Linked DNA regions of Pelodiscus sinensis. The protein of the gene in region 1 interacts with the protein of each later gene in a pairwise test. Links are inferred from orthologs where the notes say so. Each region holds a gene or a part of one and is shown on either strand. Other genes may lie near its edges. The genes, in order: FLT1 and SHC2.

Region 1 (3,898 bases):
AACATTTGGCCCAGTCTAGACAAGCCAAATGTCAGAAAAGCCTCTTCTGACAAAAGGATTGAAAAAAAAAAGCTGCAGTTTAGCCCTAAAAGTGTCTATTGTCTAGTTCTTTTCATCTCCCTGTCAGGATAATTTCAATCCTTCATCATCAGCATCCAACCCCCTTTTCCTCCTCCCCTTTTCTGGCTCCTTCTGACCACTTTTGAAGATATAATGAGCTCCGAAGGTGCATTCTTCTGATCCTGCTTCTGTTTCTCCTCTCTGTCTCTTCCTGGAGGTCCCCTACCAGGAGGAACCTATCCTGCCCTGCTTCTGTGGTCTGTGTTGAGAGGCCTCAGGGTACTTAGTGTACGAATTTCCTTCTGGGTCTCCTGCTGCTGCTCTTCCCTCTCTATTCCTGGGAGCAGTAGTATCAGGAGTAATTTCTGACTGGAAAAGCAGCCAGCCTTTCCAGTGGTTCATGGGTGGAAGCTTCTATAGAGACATATTTTTATTTCTGGTCACAGTATTGAAAGTACAGGATCAAATCACAGTCCTGTTTCGGGAGTTCACACAGATACTCTGCTCTACTACTTTCAAAGTTGAAAGATAAAACTACCCATTTGAAACCAGGGGCTTACTTCTTGGGCCAAGGGGATGCAGGCATTGTCACGAGCTGCCCGTGACTTTGGACGAGGTGCCTCAGGTCTGGTGCCTCCGATTGCTCGTGCTGTGACCTGGGGGTCCTTAGCACCCACCCGCCCCGCGGAGGCCGAGAGGGAACTTAATACGGTGGCGTTCCTGCCAGTGACAAGAGCACTGCGCTCCTCGCCGGGCAGGCAGACCCTGCGGCTTTCCCGGAGCCAGCAAAGAGCAACCCAAGGAGAGCGGGCCGGTCGCCCGGAGCATCTCCAGTGTGAGCAGCCGTGCGGAGGCCGCCCCAGCTCGGCGAGCCCCGCGGGGAGAAGCGCTCGGCACCGAGCGCCCCGCTTGCTGAGCTGCAGGGCGTGAAGCCACTGCCCAGAGGTGGACGTCCGCGCTGCGCTCAGCCCGCGGTACTTTACCGGGGCCGCCCGGGAGCCGCTAGCGGGAAGGTCCCGAGGCAATGCAGGGCCCGCGATCTGCCTGCAGCCAGCGGCTCCCGTCCCCCGGTGCCCAGGGGAGGCGCTGGCAGGGGGAGCCGGGCCCCGCGCTGTGGGGCTGGCGGCGATGGAGAGGCGCTGCCCAGCCGGACTCAGGCTGATGGGGGGGGGGGGGGGGTAACAGAGCCAGGGCAGGGCAGATGCACTAGCACTAGGACACACGTGTATCCCAGCCTCGCTGGGGCCGGGAGCGCAGGCGGAGGACGCGGTGCGATGGGACTGCAGCGCTGTGGGAGTGACGGGGGGCGGCGGGCTGGGGGGCAGCGCAGCGTGGGCACGGAGGGGCCGGGAAGTGGGCGCTGGCTCCAGCCGCACTCCTGCGCAGGCAGCAGGGCACGGCAGGGGGCCGGAGGGGCCGGGGGCTCCGGAGGGGAGGGGGACCCGGTGACGCAGAGAGGAGGGCGTGATCCGCCGGGAGGATGTGGAGGTTATAAATCAGCCGGGCGGCGGGCAGCTCCCTGCGAAGGGATGTCCACGGGAGTTTAAGCGCGCAGCTGGAAGCGCCCTTACGGAGCGGAGCGCAGCGCTGCCCGGGGCTAGGGGCTGCTGGATGGTGATCTCTCCCCGGGACCTGCTGCCCAACTAGCTTATCCCCCGTGGGGAAAGCGAGTCCGGGCCGGCTGCCGGAGCAGCAGCCCCTCTGCTGGGTGTCCTCGAGCCGCGTCCTCTCTCCGAGCAGGCTCGGGCAAAGCTCTCCACCCTGCGCGCACCTCCCGGGCAGGACCATGGGCAGCCGGGCGCTCGCAGGGGCCATGCTGTGCGGGCTGCTGGCACCCGCTCTCCTTTTCGCAGGTGAGTGGCCCGTTCCCCTGCGGGGGGAAGGATGAAGGGAGGAGGACGGTCGAAGTTAAATGATCCATGGGACAGCCGGCTGCGCGAGGCTCTGCGCCCCAGAGAGACACCTCCAAATCCCGGGCAGTGCCTGGGGGAGTCTGACCCGCAGGGGGACGGGAGCTGGGGTCCCACCCGGACGGCATTTCTCCTCTCCCCACAGGGCCCCCGCTGCCTCCCCCTGTTCCCAGCTGGAGGCTGCTTTGCTCCCAAACGGGGCGCTGCCCCTATTATCCTGTAAGCAGGTTCCCGTGGTCCCCCTCGGAGCTGCCCCGTCTAACTCTCCTGGGCAGACATTGTGAAACGCTGGGGAGAAGCTGGATCCTGCCGCGCTGTGGCTCCAAACCCACAACTTGTAGCATCGAAATGTAAAGAGCAAGGCTAGCGGTTCCCTCCTTGCTACAGGCAGCATCCCGGGCCCGGTTTCAGCCCGGGGCTCCCGCAAGATGTTGGAAAAACTGGATGTAAATTGTACGATCGAAACAGACACTCGCGGTAGTCGCACTTCCCTGGAGCAATCTGGACTCTGATACATCCTGGTCCAACATCAATCTGACCAGTGTGGGAGGCACAATGAGTACTTCAGTCGTGACCATTTTAATCCTATTTCCGCAAAATCCTATTTTTAAAGGGGGAAAAAATGTAGCAACTATTAGCGACCCCGAAAATCCAGCCCTGTGCGCACCTAGATGCGGCTGGGTTTTAAATCTCAAAGCCTTAAATTCTACCAGAAAGAAGAGCGCCAGCCCCGATCCCACTGCTAAGATCCAGATCCTGAAGTATGCGTGGTAAATAGCACCGCCAGGACAGAGATCTATCAAAGCAGAGCTCGGGACACAGATTTATCTCATTCAAGCTATACTTTGTCTCTAGAGAGAGTAAAATATTGCGGATCTAGGTGAAAAAAAAATTGGCCATAGCATGGTGGCTCCCGGTCCATGTGTGGATGTTACCAGGGCTTGTGTGCCGGGATGTATCAGGGACCAGGTATTTTAGCAAGGACGTCGCTTGGTTTCCATTTCCTCAACAGAATGTAGAGACCTGTGGCCCATATTCCCTGGATCCGGTAAAAGTATTGGAGCCTGGGTTTGTCTGGTTAAGCAATGTGCATGGTCTGTTTTGATGGTACAGTTCGGAGCATTCAAACCAGTCGGGCCAGCAGGGCGAAGTTCTAATTTGCTGGGGCGCACAAGGTTATGGATTTTTGCAGTGGCATGCTTGCTTTTCTTGGTGCTGGAACAGAGCTTTCCAGATGAGAGGTAAAGCTGTTTGAAGATTCACGGGAGTTGAACCAGGCAGAAGGAGAGCTCTTGTTCAAGTGTGAGAAAATACTAAAATGCATGTGGAAACAGGGCCAAATATAGACCTGGTGTAACCATACTGAAGCCAGGTATGGATTTGCCACATAATGGAAAGCAAATGTAAAGTCTGCAACAGAGGAAAATTGCTAATTGAGATTAGCCTCAGAGAGACAACTACATTTTGTTCAATGTGATGACTATGCTAAGGGGCAGGTTGAATCAGAGTTTCTAAGTAAGTAGCAAATATTTTTACATGAGCGTAATCAAATTATTCTGTTGCATGATGTGCTATAAATTATTTGTAAGGAAGATTACAGAGCCAGTTAAGTGTTACATTTTCCGGCAAACTATTCTACCTTCTGGTTTCTATTAAATCCTGCCTGAATAGCTGATGCCCAGTACAGTTATAAAGGCTGTGCTGATTTCATAAAGTCCTGGCAGTAATAGAAATAATTTGTGCATGTGAGTAAAACAGTCCCAAAATATTGTATTGTTTCATTGACAGATTTTGACTTGAAAAGCATTGAGAATACAGCTCTGTCTGCATATATACAATTAGAGGCAGTGGGGTCAAATCCTGCTAGTGATTTTCAGTTGGGATGGGAAACTGGTGATGGGGCATGTATGCCAACACACTAACTACAG
Region 2 (3,898 bases), on another chromosome or scaffold:
GGCAGCAGACCTGTGCCAGAGACTGGGATCCTGACCAGCAGAGGGCGCTCTGATGCAGGGAGCTGGTTCCCTGCCTGGCCAGAGGGAGGCGCTGGTGAGCGCGTGGCCCTTTGTCCTCTAGTGCAGAGCCCGTCGGATTTGGCCCAGAACCATGCTAGTGACTCGACTAGTTGCCGTCTCTTCTATCAGAGGCAGCAAGGGGGGAGCAGGAGCCGGTGCTGGGGGGAGCTTGCTGAAAAAGTGGCTCCCCCCAGCACTGTCTCTGTGGGGGGTAGCAGGGGAAAGGGGGCGAGTGGGGCTGAGCAGTCCTGGCTCAGGCTGGGTCCCCGATGCTGCGGCTCTGCTTTGTAACCAGCGTAAGAGCCTGGCGGTTTAGTGCAGCGGAGAAGCAGCGCTGTGGCGAATCCCCTTATCGACTGGTCGATGGACATGCCAGCGATTGGCTTGCTAAGCGCTACTGACATCCCCGTGCTGGCGCGTGTCACGTCCGTGGCTGGGCGGGCGAGGGAGCCCCTGTGGCTGTGGCTAGACCCTGCGACGGTGTCGCTCGGGTGGGTGTGTGGGCAGCCGGCGACGGGAGGCTGCCGTGGGGAACTGCCATCTCCCAGGAGACACGTGGGGCCGAATTCTCTAGCGGTGCCCCCTGACGGTGCTGGGTGGCACCCGTGGGCCCCAGCAAGAGGCTCGTTCCCCACAGAGGTCGGGGTCCATCCCAGACACTTAACAGAAAAAGCCCAGGCAAGGCCCAAGCCGTTCGTGGCAGCTCCTCCAGGTGGGTGAGCCGCTGAGCAGGCGAAGGGGCCCACAGTGAGCCGGTTGCACGGGATGTAACTGGGGGCAGAATCTGACCCACAGCTGTCCTGACATTATCTCGTCAATTGCTGCAAAATGCCGTCAGTGGCTGATTCATTCTCTAGTCCCTTCCCTACTGGCTGGAGAACTAGTGCCTGTCCGGTCCCTGGCTGGTTGGGGGGGGCCCCTCTCCCAGGTCCCTGGCTGGTTGGGGGGGGGGCCCTCTCCCAGGTCCCTGGCTGGTTGGGGGGGGGCCCTCTCCCAGGTCCCTGGCTGGTTGGGGGGGGGGGCCCTCTCCCAGGTCCCTGGCTGGTTGGGGGGAGCCCCTCTCCCAGGTCCCTGGCTGGTTGGGGGGGGGGCCCTCTCCCAGGTCCCTGGCTGGTTGGGGGGGGGCCCTCTCCCAGGTCCCCACGGCTTGGTAACATTCTCTCGAGCTCATCCACAAACGGCTGGGCTCCTGCACGAAGCGCCAGGTGACCGTCTCTGGCGAGCGACCTGCAGGAGGTCGGACTAGCTGATTGGAACAGTCCGTCGGGTTTCATGAAGCGGCTCTATAATCCCTGGGGGTGGGCTCCCCGTTCCTTCCCCCTCCTGCGGGCTCCGGGGGGTCCCGTTGCTTGGCAGAGACAAGGGGGTGCAGGGGAAGGCCATCAGGCTAGCTTGCTAGTGCCGGTGGCTGGCGAGCCCCAGCCCTGGCAGGGTCCCTGGGTGGGAGGGGAAGCTGGAAGACGAAGCCCGTTACCCCAGGACCTGCCGAGCGGGCAGAGCCACCCCCAGAGGCTGCGTGCGACAGGGACTCCTCCCTCGGCCTGTTGGCCGACTGCTCTGCCTCTGTCCAGTGCTGACAGATGCCGTGTGCGGCGGGGGGAGCCGAGCCGGCCAGGCCTGCGGCAGCACTGCTGCTGAGCAATAGCATCATGACATCATTGTGTGAGCGGAGCCTCCCCCGGGAGGCGGGGGGTGGGGGCCGGAGGGGCAGGCCAGCGAGCGGGCGCGGCGCAGAGCACGCCCGGCCGGCACTCTAAAAGCACTTAGCCAGGCAGGCAGCGGCAGGGCATGCTCCCGGAGCCCAAGTATGGCCGCTTTCGCAATGGCTCAGTGACCCCCTCGGAGGACCCAGCCATGAGCAGCCAGGTGGCGGCCGCCGCCCCGGCCCCCTCGGCGCCTGCCGCCCTGGCACAGCCTTGCCCGCCGCTGGGCGACGCCCGCTTGCCGGAGGAGCAGGAGCCCGGGACCACCTTCTGCATGCTCATCCCCAGGATCCCCCAGTGGAAGTTCTCCAGCCCCTCCGGCTTCCTGAGCCGCAGCCCCTCCAGCGCCAGCAAGGACCTGTCGGCCCCGGCCAAGCCGGGGGGCCCCGGAGAGGCTGGGGGGCCCTCCTCCGGCCTGGCCGCTGTCCTGAGCGCCTGCGAGCCGGTCTGCCACTCTCCCTGCTCCCTGCAGGTGATGAGCCGGTTCCGAGGCGGGGGCGGCAGGAAGGCGGCTCGGGTCGAGGGGGTCAAGCTGGCCGGCGAGGAATGGAACCGGAAAGGCAGCTTCATCAACAAGCCGGCGCAAGGCTGGCTCCATCCGGACGAGCGGGTCCTGGGACCGGGGGTCTCCTACATCGTCAGGGTAAGCCTGTTTCTCCAGCCTCCCCGCCCCTCGGGCCCACCTGGCTCTGGCTCCCGCGCTGAGCCAGCGGGCGCTGAACGGGGGCTGCGCTGCCCGGGCGCCTCTCGCTAGGAGCTGGCAGCTGGGAAGGGGCCAGGTGCCCCCGGCCATGGGGGGAGGGAGGTTTGGGGGCTTCCCCTGCTTGATCCCCAGAGTCGCGAGGGTCTCGCTCCTTCAAGTTCTCTTTGTTCAAGGCCCCACAGCCCAGCTGTCACCCGGCCTGGGGAGGGGTTGGTGTTGCATCGCCAAAGGCGGCCGCCGCTCCGCCCCGTCAGCTGGGACTTATCTACGGGCTGAGCCCTTTGGGGGAAACCTGGCCCCGGCCGGCCAATTGGCCCTGGTTTAAAACCCGCAGCACTGAGCCCTCGTCCTTCGCTGGGCAGGGGTCTCCAGGCACAACTTGATGAACTGAGTCCTAGAATTGGGGGGTGGGGTATTAACGCCTCCCCGGAGCCAGGAATGGAGAAACTGAGGCACAAAGCAGGGAGGGTTGCACAGTGGAACTGGGGTGAAGCCAGGAGCAGAGCCCAGCTCCCCGACTCCCAGGCCAGCATCAGCCACGGTCCCCCGGGCTCCTGTTCTCCTTCAGGCTGGCTTGACACCACAGCGTTGACTTCGGCCGAGCTGCTGGTCAGGGCAGAGTCTGCCTTCAAGTGTCTCCAAAGTTGTGTGGGCGGCTTGGCTGAGGGACGAGGGCCCAGGGGACTTGGGGAGCTGGGTTCGTTTCCCTGCTCCGCTACAGACTCCAGGGGTGAGTCGCTTAGTTTAGCTTTGCCTCAGTTTCCCTGGCTGTACGTGGTGGGGAGGGGAGGGGGTAATAGCCCCGCCTTCCAGGGGATTGTGAGAACTCCCTCGGAGGTGGGGAGGGGTTCAGCTACCATGGTGATGGGCTGGTTTGAGCTTTGGTTTCCAAAGGGCTCTGCCTTGTATCATTTCTGCCCCCCCACCCGCCCCAGGAAGCACTGTGGGGCGGTGACACCAGTGAGACCCCCCACGCCCTGGGACTGCAGGTCTTAACACTGAGGCCTGCGTGTGGCTTGAGGGGCCGGGGGTGCGTGTCCCACTGGGCCTGCGGCTGGGTCCTGACACGACGACTCTGATTTCAGGGCCCGGGGTGCTGGGAGCCAGGGGGAGCCTGCCCGGCCCGTGGGCGAAAGAGGCCCGGCGGGGCTGGCCGAGGCGGGAGCCATCTCCCCCTCGCGCGCCCGGGTGTGACCGCTGACCCCGCCGCGGGCAGAATCGGGCTGGAGGGGTTGTTTAGAAAGGAGCCAGATCTCCCCCACCACCTGAAAAGCACGCGGCCCCCCAGCAGGGTCTGAGGCATCTGGCCTGTCCATGCTCCGGCAGCCTTGTTTGCCCGGCTCCCAGCGTATATTCCCCAAGGGCCTCCCACCGCTGCTGGGCGCCTCACGCCCGGCTCCCGCTGCCGGGGGGCTGAGAGCGGCAAACGACG

Evidence for each region.
Region 2: the proteins of FLT1 (region 1) and SHC2 interact in a two-hybrid assay, tested with the Homo sapiens proteins (2 studies listed by BioGRID). The link is inferred for Pelodiscus sinensis from reciprocal best matches to the Homo sapiens genes FLT1 and SHC2.

What each region holds. Positions count from the first base shown.
Region 1 is NC_134711.1:299,714,915-299,718,812, forward strand, and holds the start of FLT1 (vascular endothelial growth factor receptor 1), read left to right. Parts: upstream 1-1,519; 5' UTR 1,520-1,846; coding exon 1,847-1,913; intron 1,914-3,898. UniProt on the Homo sapiens protein: Tyrosine-protein kinase that acts as a cell-surface receptor for VEGFA, VEGFB and PGF, and plays an essential role in the development of embryonic vasculature, the regulation of angiogenesis, cell survival, cell migration, macrophage function, chemotaxis, and cancer cell invasion.
Region 2 is NC_134729.1:15,712,650-15,716,547, reverse strand, and holds the start of SHC2 (SHC-transforming protein 2), read left to right. Parts: upstream 1-1,271; 5' UTR 1,272-1,848; coding exon 1,849-2,406; intron 2,407-3,898. UniProt on the Homo sapiens protein: Signaling adapter that couples activated growth factor receptors to signaling pathway in neurons. Involved in the signal transduction pathways of neurotrophin-activated Trk receptors in cortical neurons.